7 linked regions of the Rattus norvegicus genome follow. The protein of the gene in region 6 interacts with the protein of the main gene of each other region in a pairwise test. Links are inferred from orthologs where the notes say so. Each region holds a gene or a part of one and is shown on either strand. Other genes may lie near its edges.

What was found.
Region 1: the proteins of Airim (region 6) and Rint1 interact in binary tests that used the Homo sapiens proteins (3 or more experiments, as listed by UniProt). The two-hybrid records come from large-scale screens. The link is inferred for Rattus norvegicus from reciprocal best matches to the Homo sapiens genes AIRIM and RINT1.
Region 2: the proteins of Airim (region 6) and Vps52 interact in binary tests that used the Homo sapiens proteins (3 or more experiments, as listed by UniProt). The two-hybrid records come from large-scale screens. The link is inferred for Rattus norvegicus from reciprocal best matches to the Homo sapiens genes AIRIM and VPS52.
Region 3: the proteins of Airim (region 6) and Rel interact in binary tests that used the Homo sapiens proteins (3 or more experiments, as listed by UniProt). The two-hybrid records come from large-scale screens. The link is inferred for Rattus norvegicus from reciprocal best matches to the Homo sapiens genes AIRIM and REL.
Region 4: the proteins of Airim (region 6) and Stx11 interact in binary tests that used the Homo sapiens proteins (3 or more experiments, as listed by UniProt). The two-hybrid records come from large-scale screens. The link is inferred for Rattus norvegicus from reciprocal best matches to the Homo sapiens genes AIRIM and STX11.
Region 5: the proteins of Airim (region 6) and Meox2 interact in binary tests that used the Homo sapiens proteins (3 or more experiments, as listed by UniProt). The two-hybrid records come from large-scale screens. The link is inferred for Rattus norvegicus from reciprocal best matches to the Homo sapiens genes AIRIM and MEOX2.
Region 7: the proteins of Airim (region 6) and Ppp1r12c interact in binary tests that used the Homo sapiens proteins (3 or more experiments, as listed by UniProt). The two-hybrid records come from large-scale screens. The link is inferred for Rattus norvegicus from reciprocal best matches to the Homo sapiens genes AIRIM and PPP1R12C.

The regions. Positions count from the first base shown.
Region 1 is NC_086022.1:12,245,144-12,249,410, reverse strand, and holds the start of Rint1 (RAD50-interacting protein 1), read left to right. Parts: upstream 1-1,293; 5' UTR 1,294-1,415; coding exon 1,416-1,457; intron 1,458-1,860; coding exon 1,861-1,906; intron 1,907-4,267. UniProt on the Homo sapiens protein: Involved in regulation of membrane traffic between the Golgi and the endoplasmic reticulum (ER); the function is proposed to depend on its association in the NRZ complex which is believed to play a role in SNARE assembly at the ER.
Region 2 is NC_086038.1:4,926,839-4,930,520, reverse strand, and holds part of Vps52 (vacuolar protein sorting-associated protein 52 homolog), read left to right. Parts: coding exon 1-119; intron 120-394; exon of another isoform or gene 395-491; intron 492-723; coding exon 724-824; intron 825-920; coding exon 921-1,053; intron 1,054-1,146; coding exon 1,147-1,204; intron 1,205-1,755; coding exon 1,756-1,889; intron 1,890-2,332; coding exon of another isoform or gene 2,333-2,374; coding exon 2,375-2,530; intron 2,531-2,637; coding exon of another isoform or gene 2,638-2,688; coding exon 2,689-2,807; exon of another isoform or gene 2,808-2,841; intron 2,842-3,112; exon of another isoform or gene 3,113-3,119; coding exon 3,120-3,243; intron 3,244-3,405; coding exon 3,406-3,501; intron 3,502-3,682. UniProt on the Homo sapiens protein: Acts as a component of the GARP complex that is involved in retrograde transport from early and late endosomes to the trans-Golgi network (TGN).
Region 3 is NC_086032.1:101,911,900-101,915,581, reverse strand, and holds part of Rel (proto-oncogene c-Rel), read left to right. Parts: intron 1-919; coding exon 920-1,062; intron 1,063-3,682. UniProt on the Homo sapiens protein: Proto-oncogene that may play a role in differentiation and lymphopoiesis.
Region 4 is NC_086019.1:9,137,335-9,141,532, forward strand, and holds the start of Stx11 (syntaxin-11), read right to left. Parts: upstream 2,886-4,198; 5' UTR 2,817-2,885; exon of another isoform or gene 2,694-2,816; intron 1-2,693. UniProt on the Homo sapiens protein: SNARE that acts to regulate protein transport between late endosomes and the trans-Golgi network.
Region 5 is NC_086024.1:59,582,523-59,586,919, forward strand, and holds the start of Meox2 (homeobox protein MOX-2), read left to right. Parts: upstream 1-1,502; 5' UTR 1,503-1,694; coding exon 1,695-2,208; intron 2,209-4,397. UniProt on the Homo sapiens protein: Mesodermal transcription factor that plays a key role in somitogenesis and somitogenesis and limb muscle differentiation. Required during limb development for normal appendicular muscle formation and for the normal regulation of myogenic genes.
Region 6 is NC_086023.1:142,482,142-142,486,277, forward strand, and holds the start of Airim (ribosome biogenesis protein C1orf109 homolog), read left to right. Parts: upstream 1-1,245; 5' UTR 1,246-1,591; exon of another isoform or gene 1,592-1,677; intron 1,678-2,813; 5' UTR 2,814-2,816; coding exon 2,817-3,091; intron 3,092-4,136. Other genes in the region: Cdca8 (borealin), read right to left, coding at 603-731, 837-930. UniProt on the Homo sapiens protein: Part of the 55LCC heterohexameric ATPase complex which is chromatin-associated and promotes replisome proteostasis to maintain replication fork progression and genome stability.
Region 7 is NC_086019.1:78,365,916-78,369,597, forward strand, and holds part of Ppp1r12c (protein phosphatase 1 regulatory subunit 12C), read left to right. Parts: intron 1-977; coding exon 978-1,108; intron 1,109-1,188; coding exon 1,189-1,307; intron 1,308-3,682. UniProt on the Homo sapiens protein: Regulates myosin phosphatase activity.

The sequences.
Region 1 (4,267 bases), on a different chromosome or scaffold from region 6:
TGATTGATCGATCGATACAGAGTTTCACCGTATAGCTCTATCTGTCCTTCAGCTCACTCTGTAGATCAGGCTGGCTTTGAACCCATAAAGATTAACCTGCCTCTGCCTCCTGAGTTCTGGAACAAAAGGTGTGACCACTATTCCTGGTTCCTAATTTTTATTTTCATTTTATGTGTATGGCTGTTATGTTTGCGTGTATGCCTGCACCTCAGTGAGGTTTTTTCTCAGCGAGTATTTTCTATTTCCTCTAAAGGCTTTCTGTTTCTTTGTTTGTTTGTCTCCGTTTAGTCCCATTTGTTTTGGTCTCAAAGGCATTTTCCAGGGTTTGCCTGTCAAATTTCAGTGTTCTCTACCTATCTCTTGCTTCTAAGTAACTCTAGTTCCTCCTCCCTGGAAAACAGTAGAGGTTTGGGGGGCTCAGCTAGGCAAACTGGATGCCAGTTTTTGAGTGCCCTGCCTGATTCCTAGAATGTTTCAACCCTCCAAGCCTCCTACAAACAGAACTGGACCTTCCCGTTAAAAAATAAGATCATCTCTAAGCAACCTGACCAGCATTAAATAAAGATCTGGATACTGGCATTCACTGGCAAATTCCCAGTCATGCCAAACCTAGTAACTTACCCTGACACTTCTTGTCTGTATCCGCACTTTCTTTTTTATCGGGATTTGCCTAAGTATAAAACGTTCATTTATTTATAGAGCGATGGGGAGGCGTTTGGAGGTCAGAGGACAACCTGAAGGAATCGGTTCTCTCCTTCTACCACATGGGCCAGGTATGGAACCCAGGTGCCTTGGTGGCAAGTGCTTTTACACACTGAGCCATCTCGAGATGTTCTCTATGATGCTCTAGCTGATACTGAACCATCATAAGGAGGCCAAAGTATTTTCTCTCCCCTCTCCCCTCTCCCCTTTCTCCTTTCCTCTCTTCCCTCTTTTTTGAGAGACCTCGTTATCTGTGGTCAAGAGCGGCTTTGAACTCAGTGTGTAACTGGAGCTGACTTTGAACTCCTGATCCTCCTGCCTTCACCTCCCAAATTGTGGGATTACAACTGTGAGTCACTATGCCAGGGCCGAATTCTGTTTTTAATAACTCCGGAGAAGTGAAGGGAGCTCTGCCACAGAAGAGCATGCTAGCCAGCCCTCTCTGCCTGGGAAGCAGTAGGGTCGCTGGGTTTCCTGAGCGGCCGATCTGACAGCCAACCAGCAGGCGGCGCCACGGAACAGGACAGCGGCGCCACAGATACGCCTCTCTAGGCCAAGAGAACGGAACCAGAGAGTCGGCGATAGGAAGTCGAGGTGGCGCTCAACCCGGCGTCCCTGAAGGCTGGTCTGGTCGCCTAGTGTGTGTGTTCTCTAGCCGGACTCTGCAGGCCAGGCTGGCGGTGCATGGAATCCAGGACTCGAGCGGAGGCAGGATGCTTGCAGCTGGCGAGATCGGCGATGTGCCGGCAGCCCTGGTGAGGCGTCCCTGGTAACCCGGAGAAGGGACTCTGGTGACCCTGTGAGGTGGCACAGAACGCATCACCCCCCCCCCCCGGGACATTGTCCCCGCAGGGTAACTTGGAAGCGTGTGGCAGTGGTTCCCACGGTCCGAGGCAGTCAAGGGCGTCCCGGGGGAGGTAGTCACGGTGCAGTGTCCGATGTCCCAGAAGATGACAGTTTTGAGAGTTGGCGGGAAGGTGGACTCAGTGTCAGGGCAGGGTAATTTGGACCCTGGGGAGGTGGTTCAGACCTCTGGGGAGGTGGCAGTAGTGTCAGGCATGCCTCTGGGAGAGGTGCCTGGGACGTCTCCGCTTTGGAGCCCTGTATGAATTCCACTTACGTGAGTCTAACTTGTTTGCCACACCTGTTTCTCTGCAGTGCTGCCCCGAGAGCGGTGACGAAACGAAGAACACAGAGGAGAAAAGTAAGCAGGCTCCAAACCCTCAGTTCTTTTTGTCTAGTTGTCCTTCGAAGCTCGCTCTTTCAGAGTCTTTCAAAAAGAGGTTTCTTGGCCAGCTATCTTTTAAATGAAGTATCTTTTTCCTGTACGATCTTTAAACAGTAATAAATATTAGTTATCTTTGCATGTGGACTTTTATCTCTCTAAAAGAGCACTTTGACACTCTTACCTAGTGACTGGTTTGAGTTCACTGGGACCTGTCATTTTAATGAACCGCCAACTCGTTATCAGGTATTTGCTGGTCACTATTATGGGCTCCGGGGAGAGGTTTGATGATCGCTTACTTGCACTTTTGCCTTTGGTGAATATGCAGTTAAAATGTGCTGCAGGTAACACACAGCTTAGGTCCTGGGGCTTGGTCTGTGTAGGTGACAAGGAAAAGACCTGGTACCTACATTTCCTACCTAGGACAGGAAACTATGTCAGGCTGTGAGATATTTGTCATTTCACGTTGAAGAGATAAGAGTGGCAGGTTGTTAGGAATTCAGTACTCTGCAGGGGCTGGTTTTTTGTTTTTGTTTTGAAACAATGTTGAATGTAGCCCAGGTTTGCTCCAGGTTCCCTACATGACTAAGGATGACCTGGACTCCCAAGTCCACAGCCCTCTGTTTCACAGATGTTAACATGCCCAACCTTTTTAGAAGCTTTTGAAGGGTGCCCACATTTCCATGTGGCTCCTAGGAGGAAGGTTTGGCTTCTGATAAGCTCTCCCCAGCCCCTCGGAGCTTGAGAGATGGCTTGGTGCTTAAGAGTGCTTGCTGCTTTTACAGAGGGCCTGGGTTCGGTTCCCAGAGCCCACATGACAGCTCAATACTTTAGTTTCAGAGTTCTAAATGTCTGGTCCTGGCAAACCAGGCCTCTGGCTTACACATGGTACACATAAACTCATGGGAGCAAACTACATATGCACACAAATTAAATGAACAAACCCTTAAACAAATAAACCATAATTTAAAACCCCTTAGAGCTTGACATGGCCTGGGGAGTCACCGCCAGAGTTCTTGCCTCGCACTTTGGAAGCCCCAGGTTTGAATTGAGCCCTGCCACCACCACACAAACAATGAGACAGACAGACATGGACTTAGCAGTTAAGAGAATTTGAGGACCTGACTTTGATTCCCAACCCCTACAGTGTGGCTAACAGCTGCTTGGCACTAGCTCTAGGGATCCAGTGCCCTCTTCTGGCCTTTGTGTACACTGAAGAATGTGGTGCACAGACACACATGCAGACAAAACACACATACACATAACATTTCGAAAGTTTAATAAGTACCTGCCAGCCCATCCTTAAACCAAAAGTTAAAAACCAAGACAAAAAACCGAACAAGGAAACAAACCTTCTCTACCTTTGCCTACCCACATGCCTTGACTCTTCACATCAAACAATCTATCATTTTAGAATGTTAAGTGCAAACTACTTCATTAAGGACTTTGTCCTTGTCCACAGTGGCTCAGTTAATTGCTGTGTGCAATGGTGAACGCTCTTTATAAACAAATAAAACGGGAGAGACAAAAAAAATCTGCCAAGCCAGGTGTGGTGGCTCACGTCTGAAATCCCAGCCCTTTGGAGGCTGAGGCAGGAGGATTCCCATGATTTGGAGATCAGTTTAGGTCACAGAGTTAGACTGTATGTTTTTGGGTTTTAGCTCCTTATTTATTTTTTAGTTGCGTGCTGTATAGTTAAGGCTAAACTTGTCTTTTTAAAATTGAAATTATTTTCTTTAACAGGCAAATGGATAAGGAATTTTATTCAGCTATAAAGAGAAGTGGAATTGTGACATTTTCAGGAAAATAGATGGAAGCACAAATTATAATGTTGAAATAAGACAGACAGACAGATACTGCATGTTTTCCCTCATTGGTGGCATATATGGGTGTGTGTTGGTTACTGTTCTAGGGTTGTGAGGTGACACCATGCCCAAGGCAACTTAAAACAAAGCATTTAATTGGGGGCTTGCATATCAGAGGGTAAGTCCATGACTATCATGAAGGGAGCATGGACAAAGGCATGGTGTGGGACATCTGTTTCAGAGGTTTAATCCATGAGGGCAGGAAGCATGGTGGTGTGCAGCTAGACATGCTGCTAGAGAAGCAGCTGAGAGTTCTACATCTCTGAAATTGTTTTTAATGGTGTTTCGGTTACATATATGTCTGTGACAGTGTGCGGCCCTGGTGCCAGGGGAGGCCAGAGGAGGGCTTCGGCTTCAGCTTACGTGGAACTGGAATTACTGATGGTTCTAGGCCGCTGTGTGAGGGCTGGGAATCCAATCCTTGTCTTCCAAAAGCAACAAGAGCTGCTAGCTCTCCAGCCTGTCTTAAGAAAGC
Region 2 (3,682 bases), on a different chromosome or scaffold from region 6:
GGTTCCTGGAGCAGCTCCAGGAGCTGGACGCCAAGGCGGCTGCGGTCAGAGAGCAGGAGGCGAGAGGCACGGCCGCCTGTGCAGACGTCAGAGGCGTGCTCGACCGGCTCCGGGTCAAGGTGGGGAGCGGCTGCTTACAGTCAGCTTCCCAAGAGCTCCACATTGCTTCCCGCTATGTAGTGTCAGTGTCAGTCCTCCCCTGAAAATCAAAGGAGGCTTGCAGTGTGGCTCCATTGGTAAAGCACACAACCCTAGGTTCCATCCCCAGTGCCTCCTGCGTTGGCAGGATGGCACGAGTCTGTCGTCCTAGCACTCAGGAGGTGAAGAAGAAACGGAGTCTGGGGCCAGGCCCCAGATACATGAGTGAGACGCCATCTCAGAACAAGCAGTGCTTGCACTGGCAGTGCGGGTACTAAAATTAGAACAACACAGAGAAGATTAGCATGGCCCCTGTGGGATAACATGAAATTTATAAAGCCTTCCATATTTAAACAAAACAAAAAGCCCTGAAAAAATAAGGCCAGCATGGCGATGCACTCACCCCCAGCATTCAGGAGGCAGAGGCAGGCAGACCTCTGTGAGTCCCCGGCCAGCAAGGGCTGCTCAGAGAGACCCTGTTTCCATAACCAGAGCACTAATGAAGTATTCTTCCCTTACCTTTATTTTCTCCTGTGTCCCCTCTCTCACTTCCCACCTCACGGCCTGTCTGTACCCCACATCCAGGCGGTGACAAAGATCCGTGAGTTCATTCTCCAGAAGATTTACTCGTTCCGAAAGCCGATGACCAACTATCAGATCCCCCAGACGGCCCTGCTGAAGTACAGGTGGCCCCCCCGGGATGGGCACAGGGTGACCATGAGCGAGCCTCTCAGCCTCCAGCGTGGGCATCCAGGGTGTCTGACTCACCCCGGTCCTTCCAGGTTTTTCTATCAGTTTCTGCTGGGCAACGAGCGTGCTACAGCCAAGGAGGTCAGGGATGAGTACGTAGAGACGCTGAGCAAGATCTACCTGTCATACTACCGCTCGTACGTGGGGCGGCTCATGAAAGTGCAGGTGGGCCAGGCCAGAGACGGGGGGAGGGGGGAGGCTGGGGGGGCTGGGGGGGATGTGGAGAGTGATGGCTCAGCTCTCTGTTGTTTTCTCTAGTACGAGGAAGTTGCTGAGAAAGACGATCTAATGGGTGTAGAAGACACAGCAAAGAAAGATATCCTTTAGAGGGGAGCCTCACACCGGGCTCACGGCGGGGACGTCCAGCTCCAGCATGCAGAGCTATCTTCTTTTCCTTCCTTCCATTTCTTTTTCTTTTTCTTTTTCTTTCTTTCTTTTTTTTTTTTTTTTTATAAGTACACTGTAGCTGTCTTCAGACGCACCAGAAGAGGGCATTGGATCCCATTACAGATGGTTGTGAGCCACCATGTGGTTGCTGGGAATTGAACTCAGGACCTCTGGAAGAGCAGTCAGTGCTCTTAACAGTCCAGGGCTGTGTTTTTTTTACCTGTTCTGTGTTCACACCTTTGAGGATGTGAAAGCCAGAGCTTCCTCTCTAAGAAGCACATGCCATTCTGACAGTTTTTCACATTTATTTCAGAGGGTTTGGGAAGCCTCGACAGCCATTATCAGTGTCAGGAGAAGCAAGGCTCTGGTTCTGGAAAAGGCCTTCCAGGCCTTATTTAGCTTCTTGGGATCCTCAGGCCTTGGCTTGTTGGGCCTAGTGCTGTCCATCTCGTTTTTTTCCCTGACGCGGATGTGGCTCACGATTCTTCTCGAAGCCGTCCCTGCGAAGCAGGAACACCATCTTTACCCTGGGCACCCGTGGTGCTGTCATCTCACCGGCCGAGCTCGAGGCCCCCATCCTGGTGCCCCATACTGCCCAGCGTGGAGAGCAGAGGGTATGGCGAGGCGATCCCTACATGGCCTGGGATCAGTTCCCTACCTACGTGTTAGTTTGGGGGTCCCTGACCCGCTGTGATGCGGGAGGGTTAGGAGCCATGGAGAGCCTTGCAGAGGGAGACTGGCTGTGGGTGTGACTGTTAGGGGGCAACAGTTGCAGTGGGTGTAGGGGCAGCAGCAGCCCCTGGGGAGGGCTTTTCTTGTGACCTGTGTCCCCTCTTCAGTGCCTGTATGGGGTGCTCCTCCCTGCCTGGAAGTTGGGTATGTGGTCTTGTGAGCTCGCATTCCTAAGCTGTGCTGAGTCTCCATACCCACGGGGTCGGTGTGAGACCCATCCATGTGTCTCTCTGACCTGTAGTATCCGTTTGAAGCCCGTCCGTGTGTCTCTCTGTCTCGGTAGTATCCATTTGAAGCCCGTCCATGTGTGTCTCTGTCTTGGTAGTACCCGTTTGAAGCCCATCCGTGTGTCTCTCTGTCTCGGTAGTACCCGTTTGAAGCACTCTTCCGCAGCCAGCACTATGCCCTCCTTGACAATTCTTGCCGTGAATATCTCTTCATCTGTGAATTTTTCGTCGTCTCTGGCCCGGCTGCCCATGACCTGTTCCACGCCGTCATGGGCCGCACGCTGTCCATGACGCTGGTGAGCTTCTGACTTCTGTGCCTTTGCCCTCTGTCCTCAGAGCTCAGCAGCAGCCAGTGGGGTCACAAGTGCCTTGTCCCCAAAGAATTGTACGTGTTTGCCTACAGCCACTCGAACAACAGCTAACGTTCAGTTGTCTGCCTGTTGCTGTGCCACAGAAACACCTGGAGTCCTACCTGGCCGACTGCTACGACGCCATTGCTGTTTTTCTCTGTATCCACATCGTTCTCCGGTTCCGCAACATAGCAGCAAAGAGGGACGTCCCTGCCCTGGACAGGTCACTGAGCTCCCGTCCTTGGTGCATGGAGGCGGTCAGCTTTTTTTTTTTTTTTTGGTTCTTTTTTTCGGAGCTGGGGACCGAACCCAGGGCCTTGTGCTTCCTAGGCAAGCGCTCTACCACTGAGCTAAATCCCCAACCCCAGCGGTCAGCTTTTTATCTAACACAACTCCACCCTGACTCTTCCTCACCCTTATTCCCTCCCATCCGTGTGTCCCAGGGGCAGCATTGGTGTCGGGCACACCCACTCGCTCACCCATGGGCAGCCAGCACCCCTAGCCAGCTGACCTTTGACTCTGATTAAGCCTGCAGATACTGGGAGCAGGTGCTGGCCCTGCTGTGGCCTCGATTTGAGCTCATCCTGGAGATGAATGTGCAGAGCGTCCGCAGCACTGACCCCCAGCGCCTCGGGGGGCTGGACACCCGGCCCCACTATGTAAGGGCAGGCGAGGGAACGAGGGGCGGGCAGTCATACTAACTGGTAGGCTGGGTCAGCTTGGGCAGACAACTCCTGTCCTGACTGGGGCAGGAGCTGCAGAGGCAGCTGGGGTTATATGTGACAGGCAGGCAGGTGTGAGCCTCCCTTTCTTGCTCCGAGATCACACGCCGCTACGCCGAGTTCTCCTCCGCGCTTGTCAGCATCAACCAGACCATCCCCAATGAGCGCACGCTGCAGCTGCTGGGACAGCTACAGGTGGGACAGCTGCAGATGGGACAGCTGGAGGTGGGGACAGCTGCAGATGGGACAGTTGCAGGTGGGGACAGTTGCAGGTGGGGACAGTTGCAGGTGGGGACGGCTGCAGGTGGGACAGCTGCAGGTGGGACAGCTGCAGGTGGGGACAGCTGCAGGTGGGACAGCTGCAGGTGGGGACAGC
Region 3 (3,682 bases), on a different chromosome or scaffold from region 6:
GGCCAGGCCCTCCACACTTAGAATATAATATGTATGTGTGTACATATACATGTGTGTGCACACACACATATCATACAATTAAAACAAACTTTCTCTTCTTCCAAGTTTAGATAAATAGTGCTCAGCTTTCTTTCATTATAGATTGGCTTACATATCTGGAGTTTCATGTAAATGGGTGGTATAGTGTGTGCTTGTTTTCGATTAGCCTCTTTCACTCAACACACTCACGTTGATAGTTCTATTAATAGTGTTTTATCCTAAGTTGCATGTGTTCAGCATATGAATTACATTTGTTATGGAAAGCAAATGACTTTATTAACTCCACACTGTATGTTACATTCTGGAGGAGATTTAGATAGAACTAATTTGAAACTGTAGTTGAGCCCAAAGTCAGTGTACTGTTTTGGGATATTGCGTACAGATCCTTTGGTGTTCCAGACTTGCCCATACAAGGACATAATAAGTACATTTTAATTTTCAGGGAATGTCCTTTCACGCAGTGGTAGTGTAAAACAAAGCAGTTAGGTACATTTTACTTGGTTTTGGACTATAGTGTATCTCTGAATACTGTGTTCTTCGCCCTTCTTGGGAAATGTTGGGAGAGAAATCTTCTGATTGGCCTCAGGGGGCAGGTGACTCTAAAAGTTGTTACCTGAGAACTTCATGCACTTATTAGGTACAGACGTTAGGCAGCAGAGCACTAATCAGTTATGCGTCACTACTACGTAGAAACTCAGTCTGTACAAGAAAATGGTGTCTTCCTCATTTAACCTTTGATGATTACATTTTTTTAACCTTGTCATTTAATGTGGGGAAGGAAAAAGATCTTTCGGTGTCTGTTTTTTTTGAAAACCAAGCTGTTAAAGTCCATCGTATTACCATTCTAATCTCATCGCCCCGCTCTTTTTAATACTTTCAGGCGGATATAATCCCTACGTGGAAATCATTGAACAGCCAAGGCAGAGGGGCATGCGGTTTAGGTACAAGTGTGAAGGTCGCTCAGCCGGCAGCATCCCAGGGGAGCGCAGCACAGACAACAACCGGACTTACCCGTCTATCCAGGTAATGGGCCTTTCTTCAGGATCTCGCCTTTAGTGCTTCATTCTGTCTTATTGTCTTCTAGACAGGGTCTCTGTGTGGTCCTGGCTATCCTGGAACTCACTCCATACACCAGGCTGGCCAGAGATCTCCCTGCTTCTGCCTCCCTCCCAAGTACTGAGTTAAAGGTGTGCATTACCACCGCCTGGCTGAAGGCTCAGTCAGTCTCTTAACCGTCTTTCGCAAGCCCATGCTCTGGGCCCCCCCTTTTTTTTGTGCTTGTTCTTCATTAGCTAGATGTATAGGGATCTCTTAAAACTGTCGACTCTGTCCTGCTGTATAGTTCATGTATTAATGTAACCGCAGTGATTTGCAGGGCTTATCACACACTGACAGCTTAGGAGCCAATCCCTTCTGTTAACACAAAGCACTTGATGAGGAAAAGGCATTCTTTACGCATATTGGCGAGTGCAGTTAGTGTATATGTTAAAGGTAGATTTGGATCATCTTTTGATATTTTAATCATGCCTTTATAATGATCGCTGAAACTCTTGCGTTATTAGCATCGTCTAAAGTATCACTCTCTCTGCGTGTGTGTGAAGTGTGTGAGCGTATGCTCGTCTTGTGTGTGTGAATGTAGACACTTGGGTACCTCAGTGCCCCGTGGGAGTCAGGACAGTTGGGTGGGTTCTGTCTCATTCTTCTGTTTCCAGACAGTGCGTCTTTGCTGTTTTTCCACTTTAGACACCTGGTCCACCAGCTTCCAGGGTTCTTCTGTTTCTGATTCTCATCTCCTTAGAGGAGTGCTGCTGCTACAGGCTCGAACTGCTGGTCTCTCTCTTTCTTTGACAGACAGTGCTAGGGATTGAACCTAGAATCTTAGGAATGCCAAACAAGTGTTCTGCCGCTAAGATATATATCCCTAGCCTGCAAAAACAGTTTTTGGGTTGGAAATAAATTTAGCAAATGTACTATATTTATTAGGTATGTTTATATTTTATGTTTATACATCATATACACTTGCCTTTTCATTTTTATAATTTATTTATCCATGTTTAGTGTTTTGAAACAAAATTAGCCCCGATCTTGTAGTGACCTCGCCTCCTGCCTCTGCACCTTCATACTGGAATTGTAGACATGGGCAGTCATGCCTAGTTAGTTTTATCGTTTGAGTTCCAATTAAAAACCTGAATGATGAGTTGCAATGGTAGCACGTGACAAACATTTGGGAGGCAAAGCTAGGTAGGTATTGAGTTGAGAACTGCCTGGCTACATAAGAAACTCCAGGCCAGTCTAGACTATTCAAGCCAGACCTTATCACTGCAAACAAATGGAAACAAAGTTACTAGCACATCAGGGGCAGTGTCACCCACCAAAATCTCATCTACTTGGGAGGCCGTGGTGGGCAGATGGATAAAAGGAAGACACTGTCTCAGAATGGATTTTGAGATATGGTTCTTAATATTCCATCCATAGATCTGAAATCACTGTTTTGTGACTAGCTTATTATTTGCAGTTTAATTTTATTGAACCTAAGAAGAATTACAAAATTAAAAAATAAGTCAATTGCCAAGTTGTATATTGATTTCCAAATTTCTGTTTTTATATTTTAACTGATATATATATATATATATATATATATGCTTAAATTATATATGTTAACAGGATGCCATGTAATATATGATACACGTATGCATCATGTAATGCTTCAATCAGGTTAAACACACTTAGCTCCTCAAACGTTTATCATTCCTTGTGGAAACACTCAAACCCTCCTAGTTTTTTGAAATATACTCTGGTCCTATGGATGGTCAGTGCTCTTAGCTGCTGAGCTGTCACTCCAGACCCATAACCTCATGTTTCCAAATCACATTTTTTTGCAACAATATTGATTTGTATTATCTGAATTCTTTTTAGGTGTTCACATGAAAGATACAGTGAAAAGTTAATTTAGAGTTCTATTCTTCCAACCCTGTGAGTCATTTTTGGCTCCTCTTAAGAAATTTTCTGTTCCTAAATTAAAGCATTCCAGAGGAGAGAGTCTTTATCCTTACTCCCCTACTCCAGTGTATCCTGGTAGATCTGGACGTTAGTGCAGGCAGCGCACAGCACATCTGCTGCTGTCTGCAGCATACGACAGACACTGCAGCTCTGGAGACGGTTTTCAGACATGTTTTGAGAGGATGTTTCAGATACTTTGGGAAGGAGGTGCCTCAGAAAGGCAGGTCCAGGTCTTGCTCCGTTTGTGGTCTCACCCTCCACCAAGATCCCAGCTTTCCCCTCACCTATGGTGTGGGTATAGCCAGGGGTGAAATTCAAAACCTACTTCTGTTTTCACCTTCCTTTGCCACAGGATTTTCATGGGCAATGTGGTCTCAGAGAACGCTGGCTTTTTTTTTTTCTTTTGACACTTTTATTTCTCTCCTCCTCCTCCTTCTCCTCCTCCTCCTCTTCTTCCTCTTCCTCCTCTTCCTCCTCCTCCTCCTCTTCTTCTCCTTCTCTTCCTCCTCCTCCTCTTCTTCCTCTTCCTCCTCCTCTTCTTCTTCCTCTTCCTCCTCCTCTTCTTCTCCTTCTTCTTCTCCTTCTCCTTCTCTTCCTCCTCCTCCTCCTCCTCCTCTTCCTCCTCTTCCTCCTCCTCTTCCTC
Region 4 (4,198 bases), on a different chromosome or scaffold from region 6:
ATAAATGCTTTCTTTCCACTAACCACGAGTCAGATGGGTACCCAAGCCCAGGAACGCCATACTGAATAACACTTCATCTTTTTTCTTTCCTCTAGAAGATGTGGCTCTGAGGCTGCGGAGGGAGCGATGAGACAGAGGTGAAAGATGTGGTAATGGAGCCTTTTACTAGTTGGCCACCTCAGAGGACTGGGAAATTAACCCTCAGGGATCTGAGCCAAGAGACTGTGGTGAACGCCTGACACCTATTTCTGCTGTTCTCCGTGCATGCGTATTTAAGATAAAGTTTAAATTCATAAATTATGCACAGTAAGAGATGAACAAGAATTAATAGTGGAGCAATTACAACGATATGGTTCTAATTAATTTGGTGTGGATGTATTCCCTCTCTCAGAGCATCATCTCACTGCCAAGTGTGGTGGCACACACCTTTAATACGAGTTCTCAGGAGGCAGAAGCGGGCAGAGAGATAGCTGTGGATTCTAGGTCAGCCAGGGCTACGCGGTGAGACCACGTCTCAAGTAAAATAAATAGATGCATACTATTATTGCTGGAACTTTCTATTTCACGTTTCAGAGCTCGGGTAATAAAAATCAAGGAAGTGAAGCCAGTCCTCAGATAAGGAACAACCGATGAGCAGAAAGCCACCAATGGCTCGTAAGTCACTCCCTGTTGTTTAAAAGACACAGGAAAGTGCCCATAAGTGCCCAGGGATGATAACAGACTGGGTTTGCTTTCACACAGCTACCGAGCAATACAAAACACGGTTAATTCAAACACTTTAAACGCCACGCCTCACTAGTATGTTCTTTAAATCATACACATATGCACATACAAATATGCTTTTCAAATCATGTATGTATTGAGTGAAAACCTGGCTGCCAACCAAGACAAGCAGATGATGGGAACCCAGACTTTCCTTTGCTGTCCCAAGAGTGATCCAGGATATTCTGATCCTCCACACTGGGGCGCCTCCTTTGGGTGTAAATTTCTCACAGCACCTGCTGGCATTTCTTCTAGGCTCTGCCCCACAGTTACCTGGCAACAGCCAAATATACCTGACTCAGTATAAAAGGGGCTGCTTGCCCCCTCCTCACTCTTTTGCTCTTTGTCCCTTTTCTCCCCATTCTCCTCTACCCGCCTCTATACCTGATCAAAGCCTGCCTCTACTCTCTATTCTTCCTCCTTCTCTTCCTCCTCCTCCTCCTTCCTCTCTCTCTGTCTCTGTCTCTGTCTCTCTCTGTGTCTCTCTCTGTCTCTGTTTCTCTCTGTCTCTCTGTCTCTGTCTCTGTCTCTGTCTCTGTCTCTGTCTCTGTCTCTCTCTCTCTCTCTCTCCTTTCTCTGTTTCTTCTACCCCGTCCACTCCCCTCCCCATGCCCTAAATAAACTCTATTCTATACTCTTATACTATACCATGTATGGATGGTCCCTCAGGGGAAAGGGATGCCTCAGCATGGACCCACAGAGGCACCCCCTTCCCCCACACCTCTACTAAACATATCCCTGACTTCTTTTTCTTTTTTATAAAACACAATAGCACCCATCTCACAATGTTGGATTTCCAGGAAAATCAGCTCAGCTGTGGCTCTGGCTGTCAGGATAGCACTGTGCCTGGGATTGTACACATGGAACTTGAGGAAAAGAACAGACCAGAACCTTGTAACTGCTGTCTAGGGCTGACCTCAGCTCAGCCAAGATACACAGTTATTCTTGCCTCTGCTTAGCTTCTAGATAGGGAAGTCTGTTTCTAAGAGCATATTAATGTCTGGCTCTAGCAACCATCTACTTTCTTCAAAAGCTTCTCTCTATATTTTTTAAAGTACTAACTTGGTAAAAAAAATAAACTTTCTGAAATATTTTAAATTTCGGAGTAACTTACAATCACTCCACTAAATGCCCAGTTTCTACCAACCAGTGAAAACAAATGGTTATTGGATAATGGAATTAATTTTCTCTTCAGCTTCTGTGGGAAAGCACATGATTTTAAGGGTTATCTCAGATCGGCCTAGTGACCCTAGCTGGCATGTTGTCCCATCAGACGCTCTAGGAAACTGAAAACTTGAATAGCTACTTCCTAGGCCGCCTGCCCCAGTTTGACAGCACCAGACTCATCTCCGTTCTTATTCTAAGTACAGGGATCCAACCTCGCTTTTCAAAAGCGTATTAACAAAGCCTTGCAATTATAGTCGCCTTCTGACTCATTTGTGGATACCCGTGTAGAAACAACAGCTCCTCCCTCTGCTGAGAAATGCTCTACTAAGTGTGAGAGAGCCACAGGAAGTAAAACGCAGGTCTCAGCTGGTCTCGGCCAAAGAAGCCAAAAGAATTCCGTAGTGTGGTTCTTTAAGCAAAGCCACCAGATCGCTCCCCCCTAAAACAAACTCCCCCAAATCTTCTGTGCGGGCTGTTTCAACGCCTTATCAATGTTCCCATATTTCCTGGCTCCTGAGTCATACTGTCAAGTTCAAGTGGAGAAGTGCCCATTCTGATGTGCTTGAGAAAGTGGCAACCAAACGGAAAAGAAGCACCTCCATTCAATAAAACAATAAAACTGACTACACCAGTCATTTCTGAAGCACTTCTGATAAAGCCTTAGATTCTCAAAGACTTAAAAAGCTTTTGGCTCTAGGAGTGAAACCCAAAGCCGCGTCCTGAAGGTACCTAGAGGCGCAGAGGGAACCACACCCCAAACCCACCTGCTGCTGGGCAGCATCCCTGCCCTGGGCCAGTGAGGTCCGCCACTCCAGCCAGCCCCGCACCCGGGTCCCCGATGCCCAAAGAGTTTGAGAACCAAAGCACACTCCCGTGACGAAACGAACCGTGATCCGGCGGGGCGCTGATCCAGCGTCCGGACGCCGGGAGGACACGCAATGCTCGCGTCCCGGAGGCTCTGCCTCTTCTGCTTCTTGATGGCCAGGGCTGCGCTTCTCAGCCGGGTCCGAGCTCTGCGCCACCCCGGCCGCATCTGGCGCTGCTGGCTCCGCCCCCACCGCGCTGAGCCTGCACAGCTGGGGGACCAGGCCCCGCCCCGGGGACGCCCTGGGCTGGGCGCGCAGTTTCTCGTCCTCACGGACGAGAGTCGCCACGGTGCGGGTGGCTGAGAACCTAGACACGAGCCTCCCTCCACTGCTGTGCGCCCCGAGATGCTGCGGGCGACCGTGTGGACCACCCGGGAAACTTCCTCTGTCTTCTTCGGTGCTCTGGGATGGAGAGATGGGCGGAGCGGGATTCGTCGGACTTTCCAAGGGAAAACCCCTCGGCATGAATGACATTTGCAGTCCAGAGCATTTCCGAGGCTAGGACGCTAGAAACCGTTTCTGAGCGTGGGTGTGGCTGCGCCTGCAGAGACCCGCGCGATGGTTGAACCGGAGGTTGTGGATCTTGAAGACACTGAGCCCCGCCTTCCACTAGTCCCTTCCCGCCTGCTGTCAGTGGGGCATCCACGGGTACTGCCACGACCTCGTCCTCGTAGCCTGACACCCTACTAGAGACTCGGAAAGAGAAAAGGGGCTTTCGGGTGAGCGGATGGGAAGCCTCTGGACAAACACGGCGAAGGCTAACCATCTAAAACAGAAAAATGATGTGTGCATTGATGCTAGGAAGTCACCCAAAGAGCTCCGGGTGCCTAAAGCCGGAAGAATTTGAGGAACGAGGTGGCACTGGATGGTAACACAAAGTTATTCATCTAACGTGAACAGATGGCCGATGAAATAGGTCCACAAGTCTCCGGAGCAGAGCAACTTCAAGCAACCGAAGCAGAAACCCACTTTCTTGGAAAAGAAACTTGTCTCTCTGCACTCAATATAGAGAGCCTGCTCCTCTACATAGGGCTGTACAGAAAGGAGGAGGAAAGTAGTTTTTACCACACAGATAAATGATGTTGTGACAGTGAGCGGAGCTTGCCCCTGGTTCAACAACCACAAATCCACTTGCACACCCCCACTCCCACCCCCACCCCACGAAAATGCCTGACCAATCCTACTCACAGCTGTTGAAAGATCCTACGAGAAAAGAATCTTAACCGGCCACGGAAGATGCTGAGAAGGCTGGGAGGTGGGTTTCGGAATTAAACAAAAACAAATCGGTGGGAGACGGCTCAGAACTTGATGTTCTTGCGGAGGACCTGAGTGCGATTCACAGCACCAACATGGTGCCTCTCCTAACCTCTGTGGGTGCCGGTCGCACACATGATATGTACACG
Region 5 (4,397 bases), on a different chromosome or scaffold from region 6:
TGTACTCATTAATCCCATTAGCAATTTCAAAGACTTGACCATCATCTTCTGGTCACCCAGACAATAAACATATGGCAGTTAACCGTAGTGGCACGCCCAAGCCCTGAACACAGTAGGCTACTGCAGACATCCTCCTTGTAGACACTTCACAGACAGGACCCACTTTCCTGCAGCTCATTCTCCAAAGCTTGTTGTGGGTTAAAGAGAGGACCTCTAGTAGACTCTGTGGCAGGTCAAGCAAGCTAAAGGCTGTGTCAACCGCAACCCGGCTCTCACAAATTCACCAGTGGGCAAGTTTCGTAGTTCACTTCCAGGAGCCCAGGCTGTAAACCTGGGGGAAATGAACCATCATAGCAGGGTCGACTCTGAGGAAATGTTGAGTTTGCTATCTGCTTAAAACAGAGAGGTGGCAAGGAACGAACGGAATGTATGCAAAGAGGAGCACTGTAAGCTAAAAAAAGAAATTTCATTTCTCAACGGATGGGGGACGGGGTGGTGTGTGTGTGAATTGGCTCCTGTAGGGTTAGACTAGAAAGGGTGAAGCTGGGAGCAACTTATACTTGCTCAATTGATGTTTCTTAGGGTTGTTCCTGACCCAGAAAACTTTCCCAGTGAGCGAGTGTTGAGGAAATTGAACAAACTGGGTTGTTAAAGAGACATAGGGCTGGGAGGACACGGTCAGAAACAGAAGAAAGGGGGACACCACTTGGAGTGGCACATAAATATGTGCCACCAAGGCACCAGAACTTGCATCCATCTCTGCTTAAGGCACACCCCACTGGCTACCTCTCCATTCCGCACTCAGAGTAGCTCTGTGCTATCCTTGGTGCTCAGCCCTACAACCTCCTCTCTGGTGCGGGTTTTCTAACAATCTATCCTAAAACACCTAAAAGGGAAAAATATAATGTGCCCCTGAATGCGGGAAGTGCGAGTGGTCTTGGAGTTTGAAAAGCTAGACTGCTTCGCTCTTTTCCTTCTCTTGAACTCTAATAAGTTCTCTGTGATCTGAAAAGTCAGAGAGCGCCTGTAGGTGACTGCAACCCCCACCAAGGCTGGGAAATCTAGGTTCCAAGAACAGTGAGCGAGCACAGACACGGGGTGCTGGCTTAGCATAGTCGAGTGCTTCTGTGTCTGGCCACGGGAATCTATGGGATAGATCGCGGTGGTGTCCCTGAGCTACTGAGGCTCTGGGCGCTCCACTAACTGTTGTGGAAGCTCCCAGGACCCGACGGGCGTGGGGCAGCCGCTCCTGTCCTGCCAGCAATTGGGAACTGGAAATGAGAGAGTACGGTGGCGCTGACTGAGCGGGAGTTTTGGAGGGAGTTTGCATGTGGTCAGCGCTGGGCTCCTAAGCCAGCCCCCAGCTCACATTACACTCTATTTATAACCTCTCAGAGCCATTTCCCCCCCTGAAAGCAGTTCTCTGGGACCACCTTCTTTTGGCTTCCACCTCTCCCACACTTGACATCTGAGCAGCTGCAAGGGAAGCTCCTCCAGGTCCTAGTGTTTATACGTGCAGGAGACTGGCCGCTCGGCTCAGGACTGGGATTAGCGGGCTCTGCTCAAACCCGCGCGGCTTTTACATTAGGAGTGAGTGGGGGAGAGTCCTAGGATTTCTAGTGAAAAGTGACAGCGCTTGGTGGACTTTGGGACCTTCGTGAAGTCTTCTGCTTGGAAGCTGAGACTTGCATGCCATGGAACACCCCCTCTTTGGCTGCCTGCGCAGCCCCCACGCCACAGCGCAAGGCTTGCACCCCTTCTCGCAGTCTTCTCTGGCCCTCCATGGAAGATCTGACCACATGTCCTACCCCGAACTCTCCACATCTTCCTCGTCTTGCATAATCGCGGGATACCCCAATGAGGAGGGCATGTTTGCCAGCCAGCATCACAGGGGGCACCACCACCACCACCACCACCACCATCACCACCACCAGCAGCAGCAGCACCAGGCTCTGCAAAGCAACTGGCACCTCCCGCAGATGTCCTCCCCGCCAAGCGCGGCCCGGCACAGCCTTTGCCTGCAGCCTGATTCCGGAGGGCCCCCGGAGCTGGGGAGCAGCCCTCCGGTCCTGTGCTCCAACTCTTCTAGCCTGGGCTCCAGCACCCCGACCGGAGCCGCGTGCGCACCAGGGGATTATGGCCGTCAAGCGCTGTCACCCGCAGAAGTGGAGAAGAGAAGTGGCAGCAAAAGAAAAAGCGACAGTTCAGGTGAGTGTCGGCAAAACAATCCTGGGGAGAGTGCGCTCTGGGCTAGGAAGATGCAGGGGAGGTAGGGATGGTTCTTGTAGAAAGACAAACTAAGAAGCAGCTAGCGTTTCCTCTCTCTGGTGGCCGAATTCATCTATGCAGGGTCGGCCCTGTAATTCAGGAGCACGTGTTTCACTGAAGTTAATATATCTACATCCAGCCGTTCAAAGCCCCCCAAGATCGCAAATCAGTTTTCCAGAAGCGTTGAAGAAAGAGCAAGTGACACTATGCGAAATCGGTTAAGGAGCGTGGCGGTCCATCCACTGGTTGGGCGGGGTGTGCTCTTTGGGATGCTGCATCCTCTGGGCGTGCGTGCATGTCTCTGTGTGTGCGTGCATGCGGTTCTCTTTGACTTTTTCTTTCCAATTCCCAACTCTGAACAGCTAGACTTTTCCTATCATTAGCTTGGTTTCCACATTATTGCACAATATCTTGAACTTTAACTGGATTTGACAAAATACGCAAAAATAGAAAAGAAAAAAGAAAAAAAAAGAAAGAAAAAGAAACCCAAAACTTTTTATTTACATTTTATTTTCAGAGTTCCTTAAATAGCATTTACTTAAAATGATATTTAAAAAGCATTCTATTCATTTGGCGAAAAAGACATTATCCAGTAATCTAGAAGTGTTTAAGGAATACATCTGAAAATTGCGAATAAATAGATAAGGGCTTGACGAAAGGGTATTCTTATAGTGATTACACTCATGTGGTGCTAACATAGGATAAAACAAAACAAGCAAAAAAAAATCAATCAGCCAACTAAAGGAAACAAAACTTTTGAATTTCAAGAGTGGAAAATAAAAGCCTTCACCAATTGAGTACTGCTTGGAGGTGCAGCGAAGAGAGCTGACAGACAACAGCTCTGACAGCGCTGGAAGAAGATACAGAGAAAGTGTGGGTAACCTGAGCAGCCCAACAAAAGGGGAGCCTCCCAGAAGAATTCAGGGGCCTGAAAGTTCAATAGCCAGTACATCCCGGCAGCCCAGTAAAACTGAAAATTTCCAGGAAGCACAACAAAGCCCTTAACTATATTCCTCATTGTAAAGATGTTTACTTTCTTCCTTTCTTCTTTCCTTCCTACCTATCTTTCCTCTTTCCGTTTTCCCTTCTTTCTTTCTGTTCTTTCTTTCTTCCATTGAATCTTCCCTGTAGTTACAAGGCAACCTGGATACAGATTTTGGAAGACATCACTTAACTAGCACAGTGTTTGCATTTATTTAATTTTCTGTGTTAGCGACTTGAAAGTTAGAACATACAATTTGAGGCATTAGTTTGAAGAATTGAAAAAAAATCGCATTTGCAGTGTAGGACAGTAAGGGCTGTGTATTTTGTAAGGGGTTGAAAGATGATAGAAACTTTTCTTGACCCCAGTGTGGGCTGACTGCTTCCTTCCCAGCCGCGTTGAACCTGCGATTTTCTAGGTCCAGGGTGAACTTTTAATGCTCCATCATGATTAGTTATGTCTAAGAATGTTACCACACTGTCATTTTGTTTAGCGGTTATTGCTGAATGTGCGTGAAATCCTAAGACACTGAGAAGGTTCCTAAGAAGGCATTAGAATCCGCTGGGTTTCCTCAGATTGGGCTTCATGAGCACAAATGCTCCATTTGCTTCTGCAGGTTGGTAGTTACCTCAGGAAGGACCAGAAGCCCCATTCCCTGTTTTCTTTCTGCAAGGGGGAAACTGACCTACTTCTGAGCTGAACCAATGCCCTAAAGATTATTTGCGCACACGAAGGAATTTTTGTTCAGGCACAAGTTATTTTTGGGTGGGGAAACAGGGAAAGTGAGATGCCAAGCTCTTCCCAATTTGTTTTACTATTTAATATAACGGTCTTAATTCAACGTTATTTAATATAATGGTCTTAATACTGACTAGCAGTGGTTTTCATCACCTTTACCAGGGGCAAGTAAGCACACAGCAACGCCAAGCTTGTTTTAGCATGGTGAAACTCGTTTAAACACCAAAACAAGTAAAGAGAATAAACATTTGTGCCAACCACCCAGTGTATTAATACGTTACAAAGATGGGAAATATAATCAATAGGAAGGATAATGTCACTGGGGTTGACTGAGAATGAATGTTCCCATTGATAGACTACCGAAGTCAAGCATCAATTTTCTTGGTACACTATTGAAGATCAAATCTAT
Region 6 (4,136 bases):
CAACTCTCCCCTTGGACACAGAGATGCGGAGAAAACATGATGTATCCTGGTCTTGCATTTCTCTCCCTCCTCTGTAAATCGGCAGGAAAACTTTTATAGTCCTACCAAGTGCCTGCATCCTTGCCTAGGCTAGCTTAGGCTAGGTCAGGTCAGTGTGGAACGGCCTTCCCCAACCTCTGAAAGCCTTCAAGAATCAGAAGCTCACTTTGTACTATGGATTTGATCTTTTCTCTCTTCCTCTTCCTCCTCCTCCTCCTCCTTCTCCTCCTCCTCCTCCCTCCCTCCCTCCCTCTCCCTCCCTCCCTCTTCCTTCAGCCCCCCCCTCCCCCCCCCTCATCTATCTCTGGTATATACCTTCTAAAGCTCTCCTCCCACTGAGCAGTGAAAGTGTGAAGCACTATCCTAATAACACTCATCTGAAGGGTAATTCATGCCCGCTTCTTTCCAATGGGTCTATCACTTTTTTTTTTATAAGTTATGACAGATGGCAATTTCCCACCGGTGGCTATTTAAGACCTTATTAAGACATCTGAATGAGTCCCTATAGAAAGTTTTCAAGATAAGCACTAATCGGCCACGGGGGAAACGCTAGCAGCTCTTACCAAAGTAGTCAAGCCACTTCATGACTTGCAGCGCCTTGGGGAGCCGAAGGACCTCGATGTTGTAGAGATTTTCCACCTCCTTGAGGAGGGTCTGCCTGTCGGACTCAATTTGCTTGGTTCGAACTTGCACTGCAAAGAGGTGAAAGCCGATGGATCCCGCGTCAGGTGTGCGAAGCCGTCGCACCCGCGCCCCAACCCACCCAAAACTCACGATCACGCGAATCCACCCCTTACCCTCGCGGTCGAAGTCCTTTAGGAAGGAGGCGAGCTTCCGGCTCCGCAGTGTGTTGGTCCTGGTCCCGCGGCTGCTGCGTTTCTTAGGAGCCATGACACCAGGGTGCGTCCAGCGAGGGGCCGAGCTGCCGGGTTAGCGAATGAGACCGGGAAAGAGGGCGTGAGTGGTCGGGGAGCAGCGGAAGTTCAGTCGTTGGAGTCTAGGTATCCTGAACTCTGCGGAAACAAACCTGGGGGTCCCAAAACAGACTCAGGAAACCTTACAGCTCCAGCTGAGGGACGGGTTGATCTTCCACTAACCGCCACCCAATTCAAACTCAACGGGCACAGCCTAGCCAATAGCAAATCGTCGTCTTAGGACGGTTCTCACAAAGTCCAATCACAACAAAGCTTCTTCTCCCTCCGTCAGCCAATCCTTATGGAGAACTACAATGCCCAGAAGTCATTGAGGCATACGCCATCTTTTCGCGACTCCAGAGTCGTGCTAACTAGAACTGGAGTGGTGAGTTCGGTCTTGTGAATGAGCAGACAGTGCCAAGCCCCGTGTAGTTTTTGATGTACTCAGTGTTGACAACCCAGGATTTACGTTTTCCTGTTGATTTAGGAACAGGGCTGGAAATCTTAAAGAGAGGAGACAAGACTCCAGAAGCACTGGTCCGGGGATAGACAGACCCCAGGGCTTCGCAATCTAAAGTAGATTGCACTGTCGTTTAGAAACCCCTTCGGAAGACCTGCAGTCCTTCTGCAGAGAACTGGTAAGAGGACCGCCGCAATCTTTATTCTTGAGTGTCAGCGGTGACAAGACAGAGGAGCACAGCTTCACTCTGCCTACTTCAGCAAGGTGAGGAGTTCCCCTAACCTTTTAGGGACTTCAGCTCAGTTGATGGCTCTGAGGCTGGAAAGAACTCAGCACTAGCCAGTCTATGAAGCAGAGTTACATGCACACATTTGATACGGGGGCTCACCATTTAACTCAGGCTAGCCTGGCAGTCTCTGTGTAGACTAAGTTAGCCTCGAACTTACAGAGATCTGCCTGTTTCAGTCTTCCATGTGCTAGGATTAAAGGTACATTCGTCAACTCCCAGCCTAAAGCTTTTAATACAGGCTTAAGCACAGGGATTAAGAGAGAAGCACTTAGGCATAAAATAGAATACACTTGAAGGCTGCTCAAACAATCTCAGAAAGTTAGACATAGTCATGTGGGTCTGGTCTTCTCCAGGGAGATCAACAGTTGACACCATCCCCCGCCCCCCAGTTTCTTGAGACAGGGTTTCTCTGTAGCCCTGGCCATCCTGGGACTGTAGACCAGGCTTGCTTCAAACCCAGAGATCACCTGGCTTTGCCTCCAGAGTGCTGGGATTAAAGTCATATTACATTAGCCGTGTATACTTATTTTGGTAGCTTTCAGGTTACATCTCAAAAGGGTTTCTAAAGAACCCTTGTTATTCTCTTCAAACAAAAAGTTGTTTGAGAAGAGAAGTAAGTGAGAGGGCTTCCAATATTCTCTGATGGTATTACAATCCAATAAAGTGAAATCAGGAGCTCCTATGGTTGTAAATGGAGCAGTGTGTGACCTTTCTCTGTAAATTGGATTTCTGGTGAGATTTCTAGAACATGGAAGGAAGGAAGGCCTTAAGCAGTTGGTTGTAAATGGAGTAGTGTGTGACCTTTCTCTGTAAATGGGATTTCTGGTGAGATTTCTAGAACATGGAAGGAAGGAAGGCCTTAAGCAGTTGGTAAGTATGCTGCTGAAATTCTTACTTCATTGTTGGTCGAAAGTGTCAACCTGCTTCCAGGACGAAGAGTTCTTTTCTGTGTCACCTAGAGTCTCCCTACCTTTCAATATTGCCTTGGGACTATTTGAAAACCAAATCTGGTCTTCTCATGAGGTCAAAAATGACTCACCCTTGATGTAGGCTCTCCCTTTTTGGTACCCTGACTCTCTTTTGTTTTGTTTTGTTTTGTTTTTCTACCCAGAAGATGGCTCATGACCAGCCGCTGCTGGTTGTGCAGGAGGCCCTGAAGAAGTGCTTCCCCGTGGTGGAGGAACAGCAGGACCTGTGGCAGAGCACTCTGCAGGACTGCTTGCCCCTCCTCTCCTCTCTCAGCAATCTGGCTGAGCAGCTGCAAGCTGCACAAAGTCTGCGGTTTGAGGATGTGCTAGCCCTTCGTCCCTTTCCAGACCTGCAGGAGCGATTGAGGCGCAAGCAACTAGAGGCTGGTGACATTGTCCTGGACAAGCTAACTGAGAGGCTGTAAGATGCTCTGTGTCCCCCTTTGTTGATGGACAGATCTTAAGGCTGTAGGGCATCTCAGCCTCAGTCATGGTGGGCCTACAAAAGTTGACAGAAGCAAGTCAGGAGTAATCATGCAGGGGGCTAAGATTGAATGTCTGTAAGTTCGAGGCCAGCCTGGAGTAGGTTGTTTTAAAAAAACCCAAACCAGGCCAAGTGTTTAATCTCAGTACTAAGGAGGCAGAGGCAGGCAGATCTCTGAGTTCAAGGCCAGCCTGGTCTACGTAGAGAGTTCCAAGACAATCAAGGCTACACTGACAGACCCAGTCTCAAAATAAAATAAGTAAGTAAACAAACAAATAAAAATAACCCCAAACCAATTACATAACTGAAGAAATGACAAAAGCAGAAAAGAAGAGGAGAGGAAGAAGAGTCTTCCTTGGTATTCTGTAGAGTCAGTGAGAGCCAGGATTAAAGACTGTATGTACAGGACCTTGTACACCCCTGGCTTAACCCTGCTTATGCATTTGGAAGCAAGAAGACAGAAAATAAACTGATTGTCCTGATCACAGAGCCAGTGAGAATTAGAGCCGGGATTCTGAAGTGTGCCTGCCACTTAAGCTGGGCTCCTCACCACCACCTCCTTCTACACACAAGTGGATACATGTGTAACCAGTCCACAAAACAGTAACAACTCAGGCGTTACTGATACTCTGTTTTCTGTTTGTTAAGTCACAGTGTATAAGCAGGACTTACAGACTTGCTGGTTTTGGGTTGTTTCCTGTTTTTACACTGTAAGACACAGCCGGATCTTTAGAGCTAGAGTTCTGGGCTGGGAGATTCCTTGTCCATTGGGAAGTTGCAGTCTTTGTTTTAGTGATGAGTCCCTTTGCGTCAGCATTAGAATGATATGTAGGCACTGCTAAAGGCACCTTATATACACCATCATATTTCTCTCTCTGGTGACAGTGAATTGACTGATTCACTGTGTGTTCGCTGCTCTTGGAAGACACAGTGAGCAATGGAGCTTTATGCACAGGGGAAATAACTCATTTCCTTAAGCAGG
Region 7 (3,682 bases), on a different chromosome or scaffold from region 6:
ATCTGCCTCCTTGCCCCCCCTCCCATCACCATGACAACAGGGTGGAAATAAACTGAGCCCAGAGTGAAGCCCAGAGTTCATCCCGTTCCCAGGGCACGTGTGGCCCCCCTCTTGCAGCCTAAATTTCCATGACTTCATGCTCTTGGCCCTCGTAGCTTCCTTCTCTCTTTCTCCAGATGGTTGAACTTGAAGAAGGGGGTTAATTTTCATGAGGGCCCAGGAGTGGGGACCCTACCCCCTCCCTAGACTCAGTGGTTCCAGTGTCTAGCCAGTGTCATCAGGGATGGGGACCAGCTCTCTGGATATTGTGCTGGCTAGGGTGAGACTTTCCTCTCCCCAAGCTTTCAGTTCTAAGGGTGAGGAAGTGTGTGTGTGTGTGTGTGTGTGTGTGTGTGTGTGGCGGGAGGGGGGAGTAGTGTGGTGTGGGTTGTTTGGAAAAGATGTTCTGAGGGACCTGCGCACAGGAAAATTTGGGAAATATGCCCCTGGACCTCAGCTTTGTCTCTGGGAGGAGGTGCATGTGTGTCTTTTTGTGGTGATAATCTTTTTTTCCTGTGCTATGAATGGAACTCAGGGCTGGGTGATCATTCTTCCACTACCTGTGCTGGGTCGTGTCTGATCAAGGCGCCCTGTCTTTTGGGAGGCCATGTCTGGGCTCTGGGGCTCCTCCATCTCAGGAATATGTTCAGCAATAACATGCAGGGATGGCAGTCCTATTTTTCCAGGTCTACATTTTCATCCTGGCTTCTGGAGCCTCCTCTTGTCTCTATGAATTCTTCATGCTCAGGTGACCCAAACATGGAGTAACTAGGATATTTTAAGCTGCTGGTGGCTGGAGGACCCCTGGGACTTACATTGGAGCCATCTGCATTGCTTTCCACACTCCTCACTGGCCCTGGGTCCCTTTGTAGAAAAGTCTCCGTGTCGGGCCTCTGGCTGGGTGAGATGCGAGCTGATGGGCTTGTTCCCATCCTCAGGCCTGCATAGATGAGAACCTGGAAGTCGTTCGCTTCCTGGTGGAGCAGGGTGCTACTGTGAACCAGGCAGACAACGAGGGCTGGACGCCTCTGCATGTGGCTGCCTCCTGTGGGTACCTGGACATTGCTAGGTGAGGCAAGGGTTGAAGGGAAGGGCTTGGGCTAGGTGTTGGGTCCAGGCCTGGCAGCTCTGACCTTTCCTTTTCCCTAGGTACCTCCTGAGCCATGGGGCCAACATCGCTGCTGTCAACAGTGACGGGGACCTGCCTTTGGACCTGGCTGAGTCAGATGCCATGGAGGGACTGCTGAAAGCAGAGATCACTCGCCGAGGTGGGCCCATGGGATTAAGAGCTTTGGGATTTGGGAGTCTTGGCCCAAAGGTCCTGCCCATTTCCTTGGACTCCGGCTCTCTTTATGCCTCTATTTCTTCCCCAGTAAAATGGGGTTACCAAGGGTCTAGTGAGACACTACCAGACACAAAATAAGAGTACTGGCTGCTATGAATGTGTCTGTCATTTCAGCCCCAAAGAACTGAGAAATGGAGGTATGGTGAGCAAATGCTTGTCCAGGAGTAAGGAGCAAAATGGCTAGATCCTAGACTGGGACATATAGTGGATTCCCTCCTGACCTCCTAAGACCATTGTGTCCTGGTTTTTTTCAGTGGGAACTAGGAGCCCCTTGAATCTCCATGTCTGGCCCTATTCATTTTCCTGGATGAGGTGCTTGTGTTCTTGAGGCTTGAACTCCCGCTCTGCTGGCCTGAAAATCTAGTGCTCAGTGTCTAGGCCAGGTGTGGTGCTGTGTGCCTATAATCCCAGCTTTGGGTGACAGAGGCCGGAGGATCAGGAGTTCAAATTCATGCTCCCTATGTAGTAAGTTCAAAGCCAGCCTGGACTCCATGAGATTGTATCAGCATACAAACAAATCAGTATCCAGAGCCAGCTGGGTGGATCTTAGCTCCCTAATGCAGGGCCTGGAAGGAAAGGAATTGGGAAGCAGGCTAGTTTGGGAATGTTGTGAAGCTTAGCAGGCTCTCTAGGAACATAAGTCGCCAGTGTACCCTAGATTTCAGTTCCACACTGGGGAGTGTCCAGATAGGTAAGAGGGGAGAGAGGACAAATGGATCATGGGAGGATAGTCTTGGCTTCCCTGTTCTTGCATGTTACCACGCAAGGTGGAAAGACATGAGTTTAACATTTTGGCATATTGAATTTCAGGTGGCTGTGAGTCAATTGGGGATGCTTGGTAGCTAGTCAGCACCAAGAGATGGAGGTTAGATTTTAGAAGCCTCCCTGGGTTACAGTGGAGCAGCAGTAACAGTGGTTGAGTCAAGCTCCTCTTCCTTTTCCTGATTTTATTTTGGTAAAACTTCAAACACAGAAAAGTTTCCTCAATACTATGACTACTACCTTAGACCCTTTCCTGGGCTTAATCACAGAATTTGTTGAATTATGTGTTTGGGTCTTTTTTCTCTAAGTATGTCTGTTCCACATGCATGTCTGGTGCCCACCGAGACCATCAATCCTTTTGCAATTGTAGTTACAGATGGTTGTAAACCTCACTGGGTGCTGAGAATTGAACCTGGGTCTTCTGGAAGAGCATCCTGTGCTCTTAACCACTGATCTGTCTCTTTAGTCCTATTTATCTTTGAGACAGGGTCTTGCTATGTAGTCCTAGCTGGTCTGGTACTCAGTATTAGTTCGGACTGACCTTGAATTTGGAGCTTCCTGAGTACTTGCATTATACATGTGTGCCAGCACTCCAGCTGCTGTTTTAAAAGTCTTTTTATTATCATTAATGTGAAAGCTTATGCATTGTGAGGGGCAGAGGATAACTTATGGGAGTGGGCACCCTCTTCTTCCATGATGTGGGTCCTAGGGATGGAACTCAAGGTTGTCAGGCTTGGTGGCAATCACCTTTACCTGCTGAGCAAACTGGCCAGCCTGCCAGTGGTTTTACCACAAAGCAGCATTGAGGCTATAATCAACAAACCTAGCAGTTCACCCATTCAGAGTGCTTGGTTCGTGGTTGTGCTGTGGTCCACGGAGTTGTAGAGTCAATACCACATTCATTTCAAAGTATGGTTAAAGTTACCCTAAAAAAAAAAAAAAACCAAAAAACAAAAACAAAAAAAAAAACCCTGTAGTTTTTAGTCCCTTCCCCATCCCATCTCTAAGGCCTTCTGTCTTTAGGAATGCATCTGACATGGACATTTCACAGAGATGAAATAGCAGTCTAAACAGACATGCTTTACTGTTTTGTCCTGCTTTCCTTCCTTCCATACACATAGGCATCAATACCTTTCTTGTTTTTCCCTTTCCAGCCTCCCTTTCATTCCTCAGCTCTTTGAGACTATGTTGCTGATGTTGTAAACTCTGCCCAGATAATGGAGAGTCCCTCCTTCATCAGGTCCTGCTGCTCTACCCTCTCCAACAAAGAGGTGGGGGCAGCCTGGGGCCTTCACCCTCAGTGCCACAAGGTAGTTCATGCTGTGACCTGAGCTTCTCCCACTGAGAGGCTTTAGTGAAGGTGAGCCCATTGGTCTTGCCTTCCCCTGCTGGTGCTGATACATTTCTCAGATTCTGTTCTGCCAGGCTTGGTGGATGAATAGTGAGTTCAAGGTCTGTCTGAACTACAGATTGAGTTCAGAGCCAACTTGACAGATAAACGAACAGACAGACAGATAGCTGGAGACATGGCTGAGT